Linked DNA regions of Mytilus edulis. The main gene of each other region encodes a partner of the protein of the gene in region 2 in a complex. Links are inferred from orthologs where the notes say so. Each region holds a gene or a part of one and is shown on either strand. Other genes may lie near its edges.

Region 1 (7,355 bases), on a different chromosome or scaffold from region 2:
TAATTAATGCATGTCATAATTTCATAATTTACAGTACTTCAGGATGCAATGCCATTAACTTCATTGAGGTCCAATGCAAATCATAGTCCCTTGCAGCAACTTGGTGAAGGTTATAGATATACCCAGTCTCCTTCCATCTATCAGTTTGACATGTCTTCTAAGAGATCTCACACAAATGATTCCTGCTAGAGTTTTATGAAATTTATACCAAAGGTTTATATTGGCAATGTCTTGCACAAAATTTCAAATGCAGAATTGATAAATTATTGTTGCTTTAAATATATCCCTAATGCATTTTGATTGCTCCCAAGTCTACATTCTTGCTAGATTTTTATGGAGCCTTCGACTTTTGTCGAAAAAGCGAGACCTAGCGATCCTACATTCCGGCAGCAGCACCGTTCACAAATATTCAATCGATGGTTAAAGTTTTTGAAATTTTGATAACTTTCTAAAACTATCCTAGATTTCTACTAAACTTGGACAGAAGCTTGCTTATGATCATAAGATAGTATCCAGAAGTAAATTTTGTTAAAAAGAATCCTATTTTTCCATATTTTATTTTATTTATAAATGGACTTATCTCTGTGGTTAAAAGTTTTTAAAACATTTATTAAATTTATAAACTATCCAGGATTTTTACCAAACTTGGACAGAAGCTTCTTACAATCAAAAGATAGTATCTAGATGAACATTTCATCCTCATTTTTGTTGAGCCTGCGACTAACAGCAGAAGTAGTCAAGACACTGGGTTCCGCTGAACCCTTACAAATTTTTATGAAATTGACACAGAAACTTTATATCAGTTATGTCTTTAATGAGATGAAAATCTTTGCTGATCAACTTTTTTTACAGGAATTATGTCACTTTGAATTTTATTGTATATATAAATCCTAACAATGATTTTGAATTAACAGTAATTGAGTCCCTGTGAAGTAGTATTGGATAGTTGTGGTGGTTGTTAACTTTTCAAGTATATTTGATACAATTATTGTCTTCATGACATGGAAATCATTTATACTGTTATAATCCTGGGAGTGATTGTATACAGAGTAATTCTAATAGGAAAATCATGGTCATTTAATTTGTTATACTTTTCGGTGTGATGTAATAATGTAAAATGAGTAATTGATATTACACCTCAAAGGTGATGTAACATTGATAATAGGAAACTCATTGAGTGTGTCAGTGACATTGTCATAGTATTATATGTGTTATATCATTGACATTGTCATAGTATTATATGTGTTTTATCATTGACATTGTCATGGTGTGTCAGTGACATTGTCATAGTATTATATGTGTTATATCATTGACATTGTCATGGTGTGATGTGACATTGTAATATTAATGACATTGTTATACTTATGGGTGTGATTGTCATAGAATAAGAATTTTATTAGTATAAAATCCAAACAATAGGATTGTTACTAAAATACAAAAAAATGTGACATTGTAATATTAATAATTGTGTTTGTTAGTATAAATACAGTAATTATTGTATTTAACCTTTGACATTGTAGGTTACATGTATGAATGTGATAGAAATGACAATGTTATTGTTATGAATGAGTGTAGGGCAACAGATATTTTTTGTTGGAAGCATATTTTGTTGGCGTAAGCAATCATTTTTTTTATGGTATCTTGTTATGAATGATTTGGTGTGATTGTTATGATATTCTGTGATAGATCTATGAACTTTAGGGGCAGAATATTAAATGTGGGATCCTTCTGACGTAATTAAATATTTGTCTGACTTAATAAAAATATTTATTTATATAAAGATGTGTCTATTTCAGTTCCTTCAGAATTATTAAGTGACGGTATGGTAGTCATTTTCAGTATTATTAATTGACGGTATGGTAGTCATTTTCAGTATTATTAATTGACGGTATGGTAGTCATTTTCAGTATTATTAATTGACGGTATGGTAGTCATTTTCAGTTTTATTAATTGACGGTATGGTAGTCATTTTCAGTATTATTAATTGACGGTATGGTAGTCATTTTCAGTATTATTAATTGACGGTATGGTAGTCATTTTCAGTATTATTAATTGATTTCAGTATTATTAATTGACGGTATGGTAGTCATTTTCAGTATTATAAATTGACAGTATGGATGTCAGTTTCAGTATTATTAATTGACGGTATGGTAGTCATTTTCAGTATTATTAATTGACGGTATGGTAGTCATTTTCAGTATTATTAATTGACGGTATGGTAGTCATTTTCAGTATTATTAATTGACGGTATGGTAGTCATTTTCAGTATTATAAAGTGACGGTATGGTAGTCATTTTCAGTATTATTAATTGATGGTATGGTAGTCATTTTCAGTATTATTAAGTGACGGTATGGTTGTCATTTTCAGTATTATTAATTGACGGTATGGTAGTCATTTTCAGTATTATTAATTGACGGTATGGTAGTCATTTTCAGTATTAATAATGGACGTTATGGTAGTCATTTTCAGTATTAATAATGGACGGTATGATAGTCACTTTTAGTATTAATAATTGACGGTATGGTAGTCAATTTCAGTATTATTAATTGACGGTATGGTAGTCATTTTCAGTATTATTAATTGACGGTATGGTAGTCATTTTCAGTATTAATAATTGACGGTATGGTAGTCATTTTCAGTATTATTAATTGACGGTATGGTAGTCATTTTCAGTATTATTAATTGACGGTATGGTAGTCATTTTCAGTATTATTAATTGACGGTATGGTAGTCATTTTCAGTATTATTAATTGACGGTATGGATGTCATTTTTAGTATTAATAATTGACGGTATGGTAGTCATTTTCAGTATTATTAATTGACGGTTTGGTAGTCAGTTTCAGTATTATTTATTTACGGTATGGATGTCAGTTTCAGTATTATTAGTTGATAGTATTGGCCTTCTAAAGTTCCATGTCAAATATCACAGTCCTGAATAACTGGGTATAGATTATGACAACAGTACTTACTTGAAATGTTTTGCCTCCTTTTCTGATCATGATTTAATTTATGTTTAAAGACTCAAACAGATTGGGTTTATGTAAATGACAAGGTAAGATCAGATGAAACCCTGCCAGACATGTGAACAATTCAATCATTTCATGGGACCTCAGTGGTCAAGTGGTCTAAATTGTTACCACAGTAATCACTAGCCAGTCAACTCTAATGTGAGTTTGAACCTTGCTCGTGCAGGTGGACTTGACTCCAATCTTAATTGACAAGAATTGCAGTTTTCCTATCCAAAGTCTGTGGATTTCTATGCTTCATCCACCAATAAAAACTGACCACCACCAAATAGCCCAAAAGAAATGTGTTAAAACACCAAAATCAATATCAATCAATCATTTCATACATTAAATAAAGTCAGCCTAGGTATATTAGTTATATGTAGTATCTAAAAAAACAGACAACCAGAAAAAACTTATCATTGATCTATCATGGGTGATGAAAATTAGAAATATGTCAGATGAACCCTGCCGAACAGCTTTTATACCATGCAATAAAAAAATAGCTGACGTACTGCATAAACTATCTAATATTCAAAACACAATAAAAGAGGGACGAAAGATACCAGAGAGACATTCAAACCCATAAATCAAAATTATACTTCACAATTCCATGGCTAAAAAGAAAAAGATATACAGACAAACACAATGGTACATAAAACACACAACATAGAAAATTAAAGACTTAAGCAACATGAACCCCACCAAAAACTGATGTAATCTCAGGTGTTCTGGAAGGGTAACAGTATTTACTTTTCGGTTTTGTTGATCACAAATTGTACAGCACCTGCACTTGATGACACAGCATCAGCGTGATGCTATTTTTCCGTTGCTGATTAACGAAAGAAGAAGCAGATCCTGCTCCACATGTGTCGCCCATTGTGTCGTTCATGTTAGTACAAACCCTGTAACAAGTCCTACTTGTTAGGAAAATTTTGTGAAAAAGGGAAAAGATTGTAGTTACGACATATGGGACACATCTGCAATCATACATCTGTGAAACTTATATTCCATAAAGGTCAACCAACTCCTGATGGCATCCGTAAATTTAAGAATGGAATGATTTCGTCTTAAAGTAAAATAGTAAAAAAAAATTGAATGTGCATATTTTGGTTGTTACTATTCATTGTGTTCAAATGAAGTAAATAGCACCCATCATCATAATTATTGTCTGATTTAACGGTCGTAATAGTCAAAGCTTATTATAGTCCGATTGTATGGGTTGGGCCGAATTTGTTATAGGCCGAGTTTGTTATGGCCCGAGATAGCAGAAATATTAAGTTATCTCCCCTTAGTATACAATGGCTGGAGAAGTTGTTGTCGATGCCTTACCTTATTTTGACCAAGGATATGACGAACCAGGTGTTCGAGAAGCCGTAAGTTTAATCAAAGATAATACAAATTAAATACAAATTACTGTTTATTCATTCATGACCCACTTATAATGGCCTCTCAAGTTAAAACTTCATACACGTGAGAAGTCGCAATTATTTATGCAGTAAAAAAAATATATATATAATTATATAAATATATTTTGCTAAGGAAGTAATTTAATTCTATAGCTTACTCGGTATATGCTCTGCCTGGAACTGATACAGTTGAACTGCCTTGTATTTGTAACACAGATGTCCCAGTGGGAGTCGAGACGAGCAATTTTGTAATGAATTGTATACTCTCTAGATCTGCACACAGGCACTCGTCTCAGAAATTTTTTTTCGGAGATGAGTGCCTGTGTCTCTGCAGACCGAGTTACATTAGCGCCCAACTAAAAAAACCCACAGTGGTAAGAGAAGAATTCTATCTAGGGTACATTTGTATATGTGTTAGAGTTATAATGGTATTATGACTAGACTTTCTGGAGGTGGGGGAAGGGTGATATGGTAGATCCTTAGTCAGCCGTAAGCAGTTGAACTAAGAAAGTACTTCATTAGCTCAGTCAATATACATGCTGTCTGGTAACATAAAGTGTGACATGTGAAAGTCAAATTATTGTGCTTTGAAAACGGGAAATGAATTCTAGTGGGTCACAGGAAATAACCAAAAAATAAGAATTGCTTACGTACATAGTGTATTAAAGCGGGATACGGGAATCTGACTAATACAGCCCCCGTTAAAGGCTACTTTCTTTATTTTGTTTTGACGCCTTTTTATATTTGATGATTTGATACTTAAAATCGATAAAGGAATAATTTAAAAGATAACAGAAAAACAAACTTCCTTGATTAGAATCCTTGGACATTTCAATATAAAAATCACAATTTTTCTTAAGGAATTAAGTCTAGGCTTAAATTTTGTGCCTCATTTTTATGTGTTGTATAATTTAATTTTAGGCTCTTGCTTTGGTTGATGAAGAAACCAGAAGATACAGACCTACAAAGAATTATCTAGAATACTTACCTGCTCCTAACTATCTACAGTTCGAGGTAATTACAAAAATATATTTAGAAATTTTACCTGCTCTAAAAATGTATTTAGTTTGAGGTATGAATTGGGGGGGGGGGGGGGGGGAGTAAATAATATAATTTAAATCCTGACATCCTGAAACACCCGATCCCGGAGTCCCGATTAAGGTCCTATCCCCCTTCATGAATGAATACATTATTTGCATTAAATATTCATGCTGTGGCAAATAATGATGTATACAGTAGACATGGTAGATTAAACTTAAATTTTTTTATTTGGTAATTTTTCATTTAAAGCTACATGACTGAAAAAAAATTTGAAGTTGAGTAGAATGAAAACCCTCTGGTACCATAAGCATGTGTCAATGACATTGCCTATGAAAATACAGATTATCAGATTTATAGCTTACAACGCAGTATTTGCTTTACTCATTGTTGAAGTCCGTAAGCTGACCCATAGTTGTAAATTTCTGTGTCATTTAGTCTTTTGTGGAGAGTTGTCTCATTGGCAATCATAGTCATACCACATCTTTTTTTATATCTATATAGCTATGGTCCTCCAACTCAAAGGAAGTCTTTTTAGCCATTCTTTGAGATTGTAGCCGAGAAGCATCCTATTTATTTTTAAAATTTAGATAATCTATTGTAAAGTCTAAAGAACATTGCAAACAAACATATACAAAAATGAACAGAAGTAATATGTTATACAATACTATTTCAAGAATATATATGATACAATTTTCTAAGCGGCTTTTAAATAAATACATAGTTTTACTGTCAGATTAACAATGCGAGTGGCTCAGTGCAATGAATCAACATAATTTTACTTTGGCCATGAATAGTAATATTTAGGTAAATTTTTTATTAGAAAAGATCTATTTCATTGTATTTGGTGGACAAGGTAAAACACGATGATATTCATCTCCAACATTCATATTGCAATAAATGTTCAAAGAAATAAAAGCCACTCTTACAGCCTACATGAGTGCAGTATTTGTGAAAGGAACATGACATAGAGATACAATGGTTATTTTTGATAGGCAGTTACGTTGTAAATCATTCATGTTTTTTCAAGCGAAAATTTTGTTTTCAGTCACTTTATAAAAATGCTTTATTTGTTGTTTTTTCAGACAGAGATAATGAAAACAGAGTATGAAAGAATGCAGTCACGGTTACCTATGGATATGTTGAACATGAAAAGGTTTACATTTTGTTTTAATCAAAATTACATTTAATGTATATTAAAAAAGAAATATTTAGAATATCCACAAGAAATGTTGATGTCTTTCAGACTTTGTAAATGTTATGAGTTAAATTGACACTAGCGGTTCAATACACACACTACAGACTCAAATGATTAGGTTTAAACCAACATCTTCATGCAGTATTCTTTTAAACCCCTTTTATATTTTGACAGGTTCAGTTCAGTTTCTTGTATATTCCTCCATTAATTGTGGAGCACTACCCAAAGGGTATAGTTTTAGCAACTACATTGTATGTACACCTTAAAACATAAGGAAACAATTAATTATATACAGATGACTGAATTTGGTTATAATAATCACTAAATGATAAATATCATAATTAATTCATAGGATTGTCATCATAAAGTTTTAAAAGATATATAAGATATATAATAATTCAAATGTGCTGGGTTGTAAGAAAATATTAAGAAACAACTGCATATATTTACAAATAAAAATTAAAATGGTCTCAAATTAAAATTACTTATAATTATTAGTTGAAAGTGCTATACATACATCGGGAACTATAATGAAAATTTTATTTTATAAGACTTATGTAAAATGGTTGGGGTTTGGAAAAAATTAAGCTATAATATATACATAACTTTTCTTCACAGTTTAATTTACTATACATCTATATGGAGATCTTGTCATTATTCTTTAAATTATAACTGATATCTTACAATTTTAAAAAGAGAAGATT
Region 2 (7,186 bases):
GTTCATTGTTTCTACATACATGACATATAGTGAGATTCTGATTTTTTTATGTGTTGAATAAGTCTTAATCATGTTTAGGCAAGTGTACGGGTCTCACTAATTAACGACAAGAAGCGTCAAGAAGCGACAAGAAGAATAATTTTAGCGACAAGAAGCGACAAGAAGACTATTTAGCGACAAGAAAGCATTTTTTTTTTTTTTATTAAATATTAAGAAATATGCATTTATAAATTTTTTTTAATACACGGGCAGATATAAATTGATGACCTATTTAATAAAAGATATCGTTAAATGAGGAAATACACAAACTAAAATAATGTGAAAAATATTCACATTTTTATTTTTGTTTCCCTCTTGTTTGATTTCAGTCCTTTGTATTTCACAATTTTTGCCTGTACTTTCAGGACAATGATGTACAAATAATGCATTTCGCAAGTTTATTATATATTATACAAAGAAAGTTTTAAAAAACAAATTATAAGATAAATATATCTGTATATTATTGTTCTAAAACACAAGTAAAAGTAATATCATAATACGTAATACTTGCTGTTGTACATAATAGATAATAAAAATCATATAAATAAATGTAGCAATTAGATCTATGTTTCAATTTTTTTTCTATCAATATTAACTTTCTTGTTGCTAAAAATTTTTTCTTTTGCATATTCTTTTAATATTTATTTGGAATAAATAATTTTAATAAAAAAATGTTTTTGTGTCGTTAAATAGCTTCTTGTTGCTTCTTGTCGCTAAAATTCTTCTTGTTGCTTCTTGTCGCTAAAATTCTTCTTGTTGCTAATCAGTGAAACTGCAAGTGTACTGCTCTATATAAATATATTTTTTTCATTGTTTCTAAGTAAAGTGAGATTCTGACAACGTTTTTTTTTCATTCTTGTGTTGATAAAATCTTAATCATGTTTTGGTTAGTGTATTGCTATGAATATTTTTTTTACATGAGTTCAAAGGAGCCAAGCTGTTAAAAACAATTATCTTTATTTTTGGTTATACAAATTGTTATTATTACAATAAGATGGATAAATTTAATAAGTGAACAATTGAAATTAAATGTTTGTTTAATTGTTTATAAATCTGAATCCTATTTTGTTACTCTGGCCCAAGGCGACACTTGCTCAGTAACACATGCAAGGAATGTCATATTTTTTTTTTACATTATTGCGAACCCAATTGAACCTTTCAATAGATTCACCTGATAGTTACCTGTCCATTTAAACTTTTGGCCGTTCTATTGTCCCATTGAACAAATACAACAGGTATTGTTCTCTGTATAGTCTATTCACTCAGACCTTTAAATTTCTTCTAAGAGAAATCGATCACTCATTGATTAATCTACCAGAGTAAAAAGTTTATCTGCTAAATTGATGGAAATTACAAACAAACCGCGCACCGCGATTAAAATTTTAAAAACTTTAACCACAGAGTGAATGTAATGTTTCCTCGCAGAAAAACTAAGTCCATTTATAAGTAAAATACGGAAAAGCGGAAATTTATTTTCACAAAATTTTCTTCTTGATACTATCTTATCATCATAAACAAGCTTCTGTCCAAGTATGGTACAAATCAAGGATAGTTTATGAAAGTTATTAAAATTTTAAAAACTTTAACCACAGAGTGAATGTAATGTTACCTCGCAGAAAAACTAAGTCCATTTATAAGTAAAATACGGAAAAAATAGAATTTTATTTTTACAAAATTTACTTCTGGATACTTTCTTATGATCATAAACAAGCTTCTGTCCAAGTTTGGTAGAAATTCAGTATAGTTTAAGAAAGTTATTAAAATTTCAAAAACTTTAACCACAGAGTGAACATTTGTGGACGCCGCCGACGACGAAGGAATGTAGGATCGCTTAGTCTCGCTTTTTCGACTAAAGTCGAAGGCTCGACAAAAATGGGTGCGAAGGTATAGTTGACCATTATCTACTGGATTGTGAAAATTATGAGAAGGCTAGAGAAAAACTCCTCTCTGCACTCTACATGTACTTCATAACATCAAAACTTACACTTGAATCAGAAGTATTATTAGCAACAACAGAAAATGATAATTACAAACATCACATAGAAGATATTCAACATTTGTTAGGGGTCTTTATTAAAGATACTGGAAGGTTCACAAAATAGATAGTTACGGTTTTATAAGGGTTAATTATTTATTCATTTATTTGTTTACTTTTTTTTAGTTAATTAATTATTTATTTATTTATTTGTTTTTCTCTGCAGTGCCACATCATAAAAACAAATATACAAATGAGTTTTATACAGTAGCGACATAAAATTACCAGGATGATCGAAATTACAGAGAGATTATAATGTCAAGTTGACACTTCTAAAGACTACGCGAACGTACTTCCGGAGCGAACATGAGAGGTGCGAATGTGTAGGCTGCAAATACGAAAGTGTATTGGGCGCGAACGGACCTGATACCTACTAATGCCCCCGAAGTATCCAATCTAGTTTTAACTCCGGTTTGCATACCAGATATTGTGTGGGAGGGTAAAACCATGGAAATATGGCGGTCATGTCTTGAAAGCAATCTCACGGGTACTCGTAACTGACATCAGGTAGCACCTCATTCAAATATAAAAGAGGATACAAATTAGAATTTTGGGAAACAGATTATCTGGAAAACTTTTCAAAATATGGTTGTCATACTTTTGTAAATATTTCTGGTGCTGCTTTCAACTGAATCGTTGAAGAAATAGCATTTTGCTGATTTATTGGTCTGAGATGGGCTGTGAGATCCTCTAAATGATCTTTGTTTTCATGATCTGAATTGTCTTCATCACTGCTATATTGTTGGAGTGCCAACATTTTAGGACATTTTCAATAATTGGCGTTGAAAGAGTAAAACTAGGCAAAAAACGTTTCAAAAAGCATTAACCGGAAACTAAATGAGTAAACAACAGTATCGAACAAAAAGTTTACTGCAGTAAATGAAATTAAGTTTTATATCAAATTTTATTTTTTCATTTATTGTCTGGTTTTGTTAAAGTTTTTGTAAATTATAGAAATCAATTGAATGAAAGGAATATTTTCTTAATGAGGACTTCAATCAAATTTATGTCAAGTCTCGTTGATAATGAGAATGCATGATAATTAACGAGATTTCATCGCCATTTTCTTGACTTCCCGGATTGATGATGCTGTATCGTAAATATTTACATTTTTCCAATCATGAAGTTTGAATGCAACTGGTGAGCATGTTTCTATATCACAAAAGAATCATTTGTTCGAATAACCACGTGAAAAATCATGCCATTTTTCTTAACTACTCAAAATTTATTATAAAACTTGGGTGTGCCAGTGACCTGTTTTTGTTTTTCTGCTGTCATCTTTCAGGTCGAATCCAAGAAATGTAGACAGATTTGATCATTTCAAGAATATGTTCATAGTTACACATTCAATCTTTTCATACTGATCCCTTAAAGCATCTTCATATCTCAATACACAGCTCAATTCGTAATCAATCATTCAATGCAGCTTAGGGTCGGAATGTTAAATTATCCAGATAAATTTTTGTAAAGAGTAAACCACAAATAATGGTGTAGTCCTGAATTGGTTATCAGTGATGTGAAAGACCACTCTTAAGTTGGCTGCATTTCTGTCAAAACTTTGGTCTAATTGTCATATTGAACATCATTTTTGCGTTTTTAGGGCATCATCACTAATGTCACTTGGGCCAGTCACCTGTTCCATGCTGTCGCTGGGCAATCAATTGTAATGTTGTTCATAATTCTTAATCACTTTGTCTTAACCTGAACCTCTGTGAAACAATGCAGCGAGTATACTTACATAGCTAAATCCAATCTCACTAGGGAATTATGATTTTAGTACAGACGGAACTAACAACATGAACAATAATATCATGTATGGCGGTTTTTAAAAATAAAATGAGACAGATGCAGCTGAGATGCATTATATACTTGCAACAAATTTTATTATAAGATATATATGAACAGTACACTGAATTCATTGTTATGACCATGATGACATGTATGACTTTGATTACAAATTTTCATGGTTATAGTGGTATCAAATTAAAGGAACCAGAGTTTGCTAAAATTTATTTTGACCTTTGACAGTAAGACTGTCATGAATGACATGTCAGTCCCAGGGATTTCCATGGCCTGTTTAACGATGGCCCCCCCCCCCCCCCCCCCAGTGATATTGTTTGCCTCAAATTACAGCCGATATTCGGCTTTTTCCCCTAGAGGAAATTCCCAATCACTAAAAAAAATGGCTTAAAATTCCTACCAAAAAGTTAAACTTTTTCCCAAAACAGTGAAGGCATTGATAGTAATGTTTGTAAATATCGTATTCATGTCATTATTTTGATATTAGAAAGCACTTTTGAGATCCGGTTTTCTGATCAGAATCAATATGGTGCTTGTAACACAAGTGGTTTTCAATGCATTTAAGTACCAACATTGCTTCTGTTTCTTTCCCCTCTCCGAAAAGTACCTTTCAGGTTCAAAATGTCTGACAACCAAAATATCCACGAAAAAAAAGTGCAAAAAAGACAGCAAAGGTCAGTAAAAAATCGGAGATGTGTTTAGAATAAAATATACAAATTTCCCAATTTCAATAAAAAATATCGTTTTTCCCAATAAAAAACGGTAGAGGTAGTTTTGAAAAAAGACAACAATATCACTGCCCCCCCATCTTTCAAATGTCTTGCGCCATCGTCAAATGACTTGCACCATCGTCAAATGACTCGCACCATCGTCAAATGACTCGCGCCATCGTTAAATTGTCTTCCGCCATCGTTCAAAACTTCATCATTTTTTGTAGCCCGACACTATTTTTTTTATCATTTATAATCAAATGCATGTAATTGCATAACCCTTAGGCTTTTTATGTTATAATCCAATACAGTTCTAACGCCTGAGGGATATCCGGATTAAGATCGCTAATCACTTGTACCTGAGCTTGTACAGGTAGATCAACAAATCAGACAGGAGAATACTATCTGAGGATAGACGATCCATTTGTCGAATTAATCAACTAAGTTTCAGCAAATGATCGATGATTATGATAATTTAGATTAAATAAATAAATTAATAATACAGTTACAAAGAAAACAGTTTAAAATGTCGAAACACATGCTTTTTCTTGACTTACGCAATTAGCATCCCCCTTTTTTAAGAAGTACAAAATAAGACGCAAAACAGTAAATATTTATTTCATTGCAACTAACTCAAGTACTGCTGTAACGATAATTTAGAATTACTTTAAAAGTTTAAAAGTAAAAACTTAAATATTTCCTGTAAAGAAATATCGTATCGTAATTCCGAATTCATTTTGTATATTACAATCAATATTGATACATCCGTGTTTCCGGTTTGTATTCAGACTCGAAAGATGGATGTTGCACAGCATCAATTTGCCAGATACAGTCATTAAAAACCTTTTCATTTGTCAACGTTTGCTTTACAAATCTCTTTAACCTTTAACATAACCCGTACGAATCGTTTTGTTGTTGCTGCAAATCAGCCATACCGTTAATGGGTTATGAATTTGACAGTGTCCATGAAAAATAAGCTCCACATCATATGATTTTTAACCCCCATAACAATTACCAAAAATACAAGAAATCTACATGGGGACCTTCATGACAGCTTTTGGTCATTCTCGACTAAGGGGACCATGAAGACTTGGCATTTGAATGGTTAAAAACGGCAATAAATGAAAATATTGATACATTGTACTTCTAATTCTATAATGAAAATTCAAATAAATATAATTTAAATAAGCAATGAATTAGCATGTTCATCATTCCTTGTATGGAGGTATACAATACTTCCGATCGTGCTACACTGTACAGCATAGACACTGTTTGTAATGGTGAAAGTTCCTCCATCGTTCAATTTTCATCCATGGAGATCCCTGAACTGTCCTACAGTAAATTTTCCCTGAAATATAACAAATTGTAGCTTGCCGCTTTGGTTTGTTTATAATAAATTTCAGAAACCAGTACCAGAAAAAACGTACTAGAAATTGGCTGTGGGTACATTTGATGAAGGATGTAAAATAAACCATGTTTATATCATAGGCACTGCAACAGCCATTTTTGAATAGGTCATTTGGGTTGCTGCTTGCGATCAAAATACCAGATCAAGTATCACTTTGAATCTCATGACTCTGGAGAAACCACAACTTGAAATGTGAAATGAATTACACATTTTTTATTGTAATGTATGCAACCTTAAGCAAAACCACAAAATTAAATATCCACGAAAATGCGAGTTTTCCTCAAATCCATGAAAATTAGTACGTTGACAATTGAAAAATTATTGAATACACAATATTCAACATGTTCAACATGTTCAAAGGGACTGCTCTCTGTTATTACAGCTTTTACATTAATGCTAGCAAGACAAATCTTTGTTTGGCTTGCTTGCTTTGTTTGAATCAATGTTTGCTCAAGCATGGCAATTAAGATAGGCGGGGTTTCAGCTTGTGTACATCATGATACTTAAATTTAATTGGACGTTATGTTTGAGGTAAAGGACCTTAAATTTTAAAACATCACATGACAATTATTCTCACATGTTTCCTTACCTGTAAATATACGATACATTCGTCAAAATTATCTCCCTATTACGTCGATTCATTCTCACAATCGATCGTAGAAATGGAAGATAAATTTTTTTTTCGAAGATATGCATTGTCATCATCCAACTTAAAAGACTGTCGTCTATAACTTTTATTTAAAAAAAAAAGTTTTTCGAACACACCTACTCTGATTTTGTGATTCATTACACATGTTACATATGTATTTCACTTGACCTATATATTTCATCTTTTAGTACTGTGATTTTTTTTATGTTATAAAGTCAACCTGTAGCTTTGCTATATAAAAATGATAGAATCTGATGATGTATCAAATACTCTTGCTTAGTACGTTTTTAAGACAAAATATTCATTTCAAACGCACCCTAACATAAAAATGTGCACTCGATTTTCTCTTTTCAATACCCATTTTTTGGAATTTTTTCTTGAGTCACATAATGGAAGGGAAGACACGAAAGTAACTGAAATAACAGTTAATAAAAATATAAACTTTTTTTGCACTCGACGCAAAACTGTGGAAGGCCAGTTTCTCAGCCTCATACAAGAAAAAAGTTAATATTTCTCTTTCATTGACCAATTATTGTTTTTTTACA
Region 3 (7,384 bases), on a different chromosome or scaffold from region 2:
AGTTGTAACTATAAACTGGCTTTAACATCTGGCATTTATAGTCAAAACAAATAAATTATGCCTACTCAGTGTATTTGATAAAGAAGTTTAAATTGTATTCTTAATTGGTGATGATGGGATACATTTTAGATCATTTTATAAATTTGACACCTGTCTGATGAAACAAGAATGTGGTACTAGTACATAGATGCCCCACTCACACTATCATTATCTATGTTCATTGTTGAATTGAAAGTGAGATTGGGGTCAAAACTCTAGTTAAACTGTTTGGCATTAAAATTAGAAAGATCACATCATAGAAAAATAAGTACTACTTATCAAGTTGATTGGACTTAAAACTTTATCAAAAACTACCTTCACCAAAAACTTTAACCTAAAGCAGGACAGTTGAATTAACAAATGAACAGAAGGGCAGACAAACAGATGCACAGACCAAAAATCATAATGCCCCTAGGAGGGGCATACAAAATGTTTATATTCAATTCACCAAAATGAACAAATTTTCAGAAATGACTTTTATGCATTAACAACTTATCATGGATGCTGAATTCCTGATGCAGCTATACATGTGGGTTAGAGTCATTAATAATCATGATGATAAATATGAAAAAAAACATTTATATCCTAAAACAGGACAAGCTAAACCAGGTGCTCCGCAGGGTGCAGCTTTATACGACCGCAGAGGTCGAACCCTGAACAGTTGGGGCAAGTATGGACAAAACATTCAAGCGTGATACAGCTCTGAATTTGGATTGTGATCAAAATTTTGACAATACATGTTTTTTTTTTACACAAAACAAATGTCAAGATTTTACAAATCAATTAAAGATTTCTTCTTCAAACTTTTTAAATCTAAAATTAAATAGTTGACACAGCATAGGTTTCTGACACAGAATGAATGTGGTCTAATGAACTTAAAAGGTTTTTTTTTGCCTTTGAGCAATTCACTATGCTGTTGAATATTAATCCTCTCAAAAAAATGATTGAAGAAATTTTCTTTTTATTTATGAAATCCGAAATGAGAAAAATTTACCCCCCCCCCCCTTTTTTTTCACATCCCTGTTTCCCTTTTTCCAAAACTGATATCAATTCAAATTTCTAATGGAGTTTGCAACAATAACTACTCTTTTAAATACATCATAAAATATTAAAATGTAAAATAAAGTGCTTGTTATCACTAAATGGTAAAGATTGGTTGGTAGTAAAAGTGAATATACATTGTTTATTGTATAAAAAAATAAAAAAAACTTCATCAGAAACATTTTATATTGGCAAATTTCCAATGAAGTTATTTACATAAAGTTATTGGCAAATAAAAATAGAAAATGACATCATAGTCATGTCTGGCAAATGTCCAACATACACTATCTAAAAACATTTTAGATAAGATAAGGAAAAAAAGCTTCATCAGCAACATTTTATATTGGCAAATTTCCAATGAAGTTATTTACATAAAGTTATTGGCAAATAAAAATAGAAAATGACATCATAGTCATGTCTGGCAAATTTCCAACATATATTATCAACTACTATTCTATACAAAGAAAGATAACTCCAATTGAAAATTAATTGCTATTGCACAATATTGTGCAATTAGATATTTCTTGCTATTGTGCAATACTGTGCAATTGAAAATATCTTGCTATTGCACAATACTTGATATGGAATCCTGATTTGGACCAACTTGAAAACTGGGCCCATAATCAAAAATCAAAGTACATATTTAGATAAAGCATATCAAATAAGCCCAAGAATTTAATTTTTGTTGAAATCAAACTTAGTTTATTTTGGACCCTTTGGACCTTAATGTAGACCAATTTGAAAACTGGACCAAAAATTAAGAATCTACATACACAGTTAGATTTGGCATATCAAAGAACCCATTTATTCAATTTTTGATGAAATCAAACAAAGTTTAATTTTGGACCCCGATTTGGACCAACTTGAAAACTAGGCCAATAATTAAAAATCTAAGTACATTTTTAAATTCAGCATATCAAAGAACCCCAAGGATTCAATTTTTGTTAAAATCAAACTAAGTTTAATTTTGGACCCTTTGGACCTTAATGTAGACCAATTTGAAAACGGGACCAAAAATTAAGAATCTACATATATAGTTAGATTCGGCATATCAAAGAACCCCAATTATTCAATTTTTGATGAAATCACACAAAGTTCAATTTTGGACCCTTTGGGCCCCGTATTCCAAAACTCCCAAAATCAAACCCAACCTTCCTTTTATGGTCATAAACCTTGTGTTTAAATTTCATAGATTTCTATTTACTTATACTAAAGTTATTGTGTGCGAAAACCAAGAATAATGCTTATTTGGGCCCCTTTTTGGCCCCTAATTCATAAACTGTTGTGACCTCAACTCCAAAAATCAATCCCAACCTTCCTTTTGTGGTCATAAACCTTGTGTTAAAATTTCATTGATTTCTATTCACTTTTACTAAGGTTAGAGTGCGAAAACTAAAAGTATTCGGACGACGACGACGACGCAGACGACGACGCCAACGTGATAGCAATATACGACCAAAAAATTAAAATTTTTGCGGTCGTATAAAAACATAACTGGAATAGTGCTAAAAGACAACATTAACACACTATAATTTTTACAACATCAAGGAAAAGTACCTCATGATTGGACCTGTTTTCAAAAAAGGAGACAAGCATCATCCTGGTAACTATAGACCAATCTCATTATAAACTTGTATTTCTTGCAAATTATTAGAGCACATATATATATACTATTACTAACTTGCAGGCAACATCATGAAACGTCTTGAACACAGCTTCAGGACAAATAGATCTTTCTAATTCCAAATAACTTCACTAATTCACCAGCTGTCATCAATGTTTTTCAGATTTGGAAATTTTTTGAAATATAAATTTTGTGATTAGATTTTATTTTTGGTGTTTGAAGGCAACTTTCACGCACTGCTTTTGGGCTACTTCTTGGTGGCCAGTTTTTATTGGTGGAGGAAGCCGGGTCCGGAGTGTCCAGAGAAAACTGTTGATCTTTGATAGGAAAACTGACAATCCTAGTCAATTAAAATTGGAGTTGAGTGCACCTGCACAAGCAGGGTTCAAACTCACAACCTCAGCATTAACTGGCTAGTGAATACAGTAGTATCTACTTAGACCACTCGGCCACTGATCATGAGGCCCCAATAAATTTTGTGATAATTCAAATCGTGGAGAGCTATATATTCTAAAACAAAATGAAGCTTATTTTCTATGAAATTAAGCGTTGACAGAGCCTTTATATCTAAACTTACAACTCCATTGACCTCTGGGCAGACCAGAGGTAAAAACTAATTCTACCAAGAAAAGGCTACAGCAGACACCTTTGGCCAATCATTCTTCCTTACTCCTAAGGACCATCAGGGACTGGAACTAAAATGCCAACAACAGCCAACTTGCCTGAGATAACTCTGATGCCCAAGTTCTTTTTTGCCAGACAAGCTGGGGCCCTGGGACACGGCCCGGGTCCTGTCTGGAAAAACAGCTGTTGGATATCAGAGTAATCTCAGACTACAGCCGACACAGTTGAAGGATTCAGAGCTGCCCTGAAGGCATGTTTTGCTACAATCATGAATCTAGACAGTAATATCATGTAGGTAATTTTTATTATTATTAAAAAAAACCCCAGCTTTATTTAGAGTCGGCATAGTATACAAACGAGTACATAACACGAGCTCTAATGAGATTTAACCTACATAACCGTTTTAATTGTAAATACATATACATTTAGAGACTCTCTATATGTATTTACAATTAAAACTGAGACTCTTTAACAGCCAAGAGAAAACTTTTTGTGGTGTCTGACACTAGGCATCGTTTCCGCTGGAATAAATACATTCAACTATTGAATTTGGTTCTTCACTGAAAGAAGAAGAAGTTAAAGTGATGGAGTTATCTGTACAGACTTCATTAAATTTATAAAAATAACTTCTTCTTTTTCCATAAATTTTCTGTTCAGTCTTCAGTTCAGACCACCATCTGGTGTATTTTCGAACGAATTCGTTTCAAAATAAAATATAGAAATACGTCATTTGTTTACTTTACAGTATATTTGTAAATTTATAAGAAATGATCAGCAAATTGATCCAAAAAGAATACTTTTCTTTGGTTCTTCAGTTCCTCTGTGTGTGTAATTTTCTCAAAATAAACAAAGCTGGGTCATATTTGTTCTTGAAAACTAGGTCATTATTACTGCTACAATCAAACATTTTAGTGATTTTAAACAACTGGTACAAACTTTTGTTCTGTTTTAGGTAGTGTTGTACTATACTTCGCAACATCAGGGGACCAGATTTCACTAAAAGAAAAGAAATGGCGACATCGAAGGGTGCAAATACGTACAATCGACAAAACTGGGAAGATTCTGTATGTTTTAAAGACTATTTCACTGCATATTACCTTTACATGTGACAAACAACCTCTATGGAAAAGTTTATTTGTTCCAAACTTTTATTTGGCACATTCTGCAAGAATGAAAAATATGAATAGCAAATATTATCCAGAAAAGTTTGTAATTTTCTGAAACATAAAATGCATTTAAAATCTAATTATCATGTTCCTGTCATCCCTGAAAAATTTTGCAGGGGTTTAGGTGTGTCTGTACTCAGAGTAAAATTTGTGGTGTAAATATGGCCGTTAGGTGAACCTTAATATCTGTAGATGGTAGAAAAAGTAGTTTACAGAAAAAGTATGGAGCATCTTTTTACCACAGAACACCGCATAATACCACAGAACACTCTAACTAGGTGTCAAAACTTTTAAATGACATGTTTCTTTGCTTAATTGGTGTTTACGGAAAGTGTCAAAATGGGTTAATCTAATTAAATTTTGGTACTTTAATTGGGTTGGTGAACATGCTATGGTCAACATTTTTGGACTCAAAATACAGAATCTATATGTTAATGCTCCATATACATATACGATCTCTTAATACATACAAAATTTGGCAGAAATCGGAAATATTGTCAAATGCACACAACATAAGAATCCAAAAACAGTCATCGAACTTGAACTTTTTGACAATTAAAAAGAGACACTTATAATATGGTATTAGTCAACTCAACATGCTCAAAGATTCAGATATCTTTTTGGAAGTATTTGATAGCTCTTAGCACTGTATTGTTTTATGTATCATTTATATACCAGGGCTCACATTACTTCAGAATTATAGGGAGAAGTGACTTCTCTTTTTGAAACTGATAGGGAGAAGTGGTGAGATTTGAAAGAGAAGTGCTCATTCGCGCGGTGCGCTACAATGTTTGGATTTTACAATAGTATAAAGGGCCACATGTAAATAATGTTCTTTTTATGTTGTTCAATTCATGAGTAAAAAATTACAATTAAAGTAACATTTGAAATTAAAAGTTGTTTAAGTTTTACTAAGGTTCTTGTGAGAAACTACCAACTAAATATCTAGCACTAAAAAAAAAATTATTTTAAAAAATGTAAAGAAATTATAATATATCAATTACAATTTAATTAAAAATTATCTTGTGTATGAAATTCAGTGTTTCTCATAAAAAAATATAAAAGTTATTAAGCTGGACTATAATATATTGATATTAGTAGAATAGTCTCAGAGTTAAGCAACTTTAATCAATAGTTTGAAACAATCCATAAAAAATATAGGGACTTATATACACCAATCAATTAGATGTAACCAAAAGTCTCTTAATGACTGTGGAATGCGTAATTTTTCCCTTTGGGATCAATATTCTTCTGTCAGCTGTTCCATCCGTGCGTCCGTAGTAATTATTGTAAAAGTACGGATTTCTGTCATAGCTGGTCCGGTTCAGATCCGTAGTTTAGAAATCGGTCAATGGCGGACGAATGCAAGAAAATTTACAAAAATAAACGATGTTTGACAAGTTATTTGGAAAGGAACATGACGGTTTTAATGCAATAAATGGATCAAACATTTACTGGAGGCAACTTTTATCACGTTTAAATGAAGTAACAAACTTATTTTGCCGCCGAAATTTAGGTTGATGTACGTTTTCGAGTAACAAGCACCGGGACTTGCGGAAATGCACGAAGTGATAAAAAGTTGTATTTTTATCAAATAACCGGCTACACACTGCGAAGACAATGCTTCAACATCTTTTCTAAAGATAATGAATCGTTTATGTCTGAATTTCTTTAATTATCAGTAAAAAATTGATGTTTCATCAACTTGGTAAAAATTGAAAATGTCTGATGACGGAAGCGACTGAAAGCGACTATCGTCAAGAACAGGGCGACTTGTTTTCGCTTTTGGTGGTCGGGGAAAGCGAAGTGACGGTCGGGAAGGCGACTTCTTCGCCCAAGTCGCCTGGTAGCGTGAGCCCTGTATAATACATGATCAGTCAGGGGACTTACTGAAATAAGTGATTTTTAAATCACTCATTTGAGTAGCAAATTCGAAGTTTTGTCACAAATTGTAATATTGTAGTTTTACCAAAATATTAAACACAAAGGTTTAAAAAATATCTTTCCATTAGTAAAATTGAAAAAAATGATTTTTAACCTTCTTTTAAGTATCAAGATTTATGCCTTTGATGCTATCATTTAGCTGCAAATTCTATTTTAGTTGAAAAAATGCTATAATAATGGCTTTACATAATGAACTGATACTTTCTTAACAGATTTTTCCCAGCAGTGGAAGTATTTTTCCTGTAAAGTTCAAGGTTTTATCTTTTAGATTATGTAATAAAATTCTACTGTTCGCGATAAAAATTTCACTGTTCGGGGGTGTTGAAATTAGTGGGGGTTATTAAAATAATGATACTCAAAGGAGTGATTTTTGGGAAGGAAATTGAGGTATGATACTTAACCAAGTGATTTTTATGTCATTATCCTAGATTCAGTACAAGGTCATCACCTGAAATGACCTGGTCATCCTAAACAACACAGATGTTAACGTTGGTTCTGATAAGTTTAGAAACATAATTAGTCCCTGGATCATTAGTATTCTATATTTAAAGCTACAGTTAAATTAAATCACTTCTTCTAGTGATTATTTTGTACTACTTAAATAGGTGATTATTAAAGAAAGACAACTCTTACTTTCAACCTTTATGGAAATAATGTTACTTGAATCAGTGATTTAAAAAATCACTCATTTAAGTAAGTCCACTGATATATACATATAATTAATAAAAAAAAAGTGTAAAAAAATACCAACCGAATAACAAAATGAACTTACTTGTAACAAATAACTACGAAAATGCATGTCTTAATATTTTCAAAAATGAATTAAAAATTAAAAAAAGATAAAGATGTATTCAATAGCTATGGATTTCTATATTATTGGCCATTCAGTTTGGGGTGTAGCGATTGTGAGTAGACCCTAAATAGAAAAATTAAATGGAATTGAATA

What was found.
Region 1: pre-mRNA-processing factor 17-like (region 2) and pre-mRNA-splicing factor SPF27-like share a complex: the UniProt entries of both Homo sapiens proteins name them as parts of the postcatalytic spliceosome P complex. The link is inferred for Mytilus edulis from reciprocal best matches to the Homo sapiens genes CDC40 and BCAS2.
Region 3: pre-mRNA-processing factor 17-like (region 2) and pre-mRNA-splicing factor RBM22-like share a complex: the UniProt entries of both Homo sapiens proteins name them as parts of the postcatalytic spliceosome P complex. The link is inferred for Mytilus edulis from reciprocal best matches to the Homo sapiens genes CDC40 and RBM22.

What each region holds. Positions count from the first base shown.
Region 1 is NC_092356.1:71,254,444-71,261,798, forward strand, and holds the start of pre-mRNA-splicing factor SPF27-like, read left to right. Parts: upstream 1-4,243; 5' UTR 4,244-4,307; coding exon 4,308-4,382; intron 4,383-5,336; coding exon 5,337-5,429; intron 5,430-6,538; coding exon 6,539-6,609; intron 6,610-7,355. UniProt on the Homo sapiens protein: Required for pre-mRNA splicing as component of the activated spliceosome. Component of the PRP19-CDC5L complex that forms an integral part of the spliceosome and is required for activating pre-mRNA splicing.
Region 2 is NC_092353.1:60,952,780-60,959,965, forward strand, and holds the start of pre-mRNA-processing factor 17-like, read right to left. Parts: upstream 3,116-7,186; 5' UTR 2,832-3,115; coding exon 2,673-2,831; intron 1-2,672. UniProt on the Homo sapiens protein: Required for pre-mRNA splicing as component of the activated spliceosome. Plays an important role in embryonic brain development; this function does not require proline isomerization.
Region 3 is NC_092352.1:86,310,968-86,318,351, forward strand, and holds the start of pre-mRNA-splicing factor RBM22-like, read left to right. Parts: upstream 1-4,270; 5' UTR 4,271-4,338; coding exon 4,339-4,392; intron 4,393-7,384. UniProt on the Homo sapiens protein: Required for pre-mRNA splicing as component of the activated spliceosome. Involved in the first step of pre-mRNA splicing.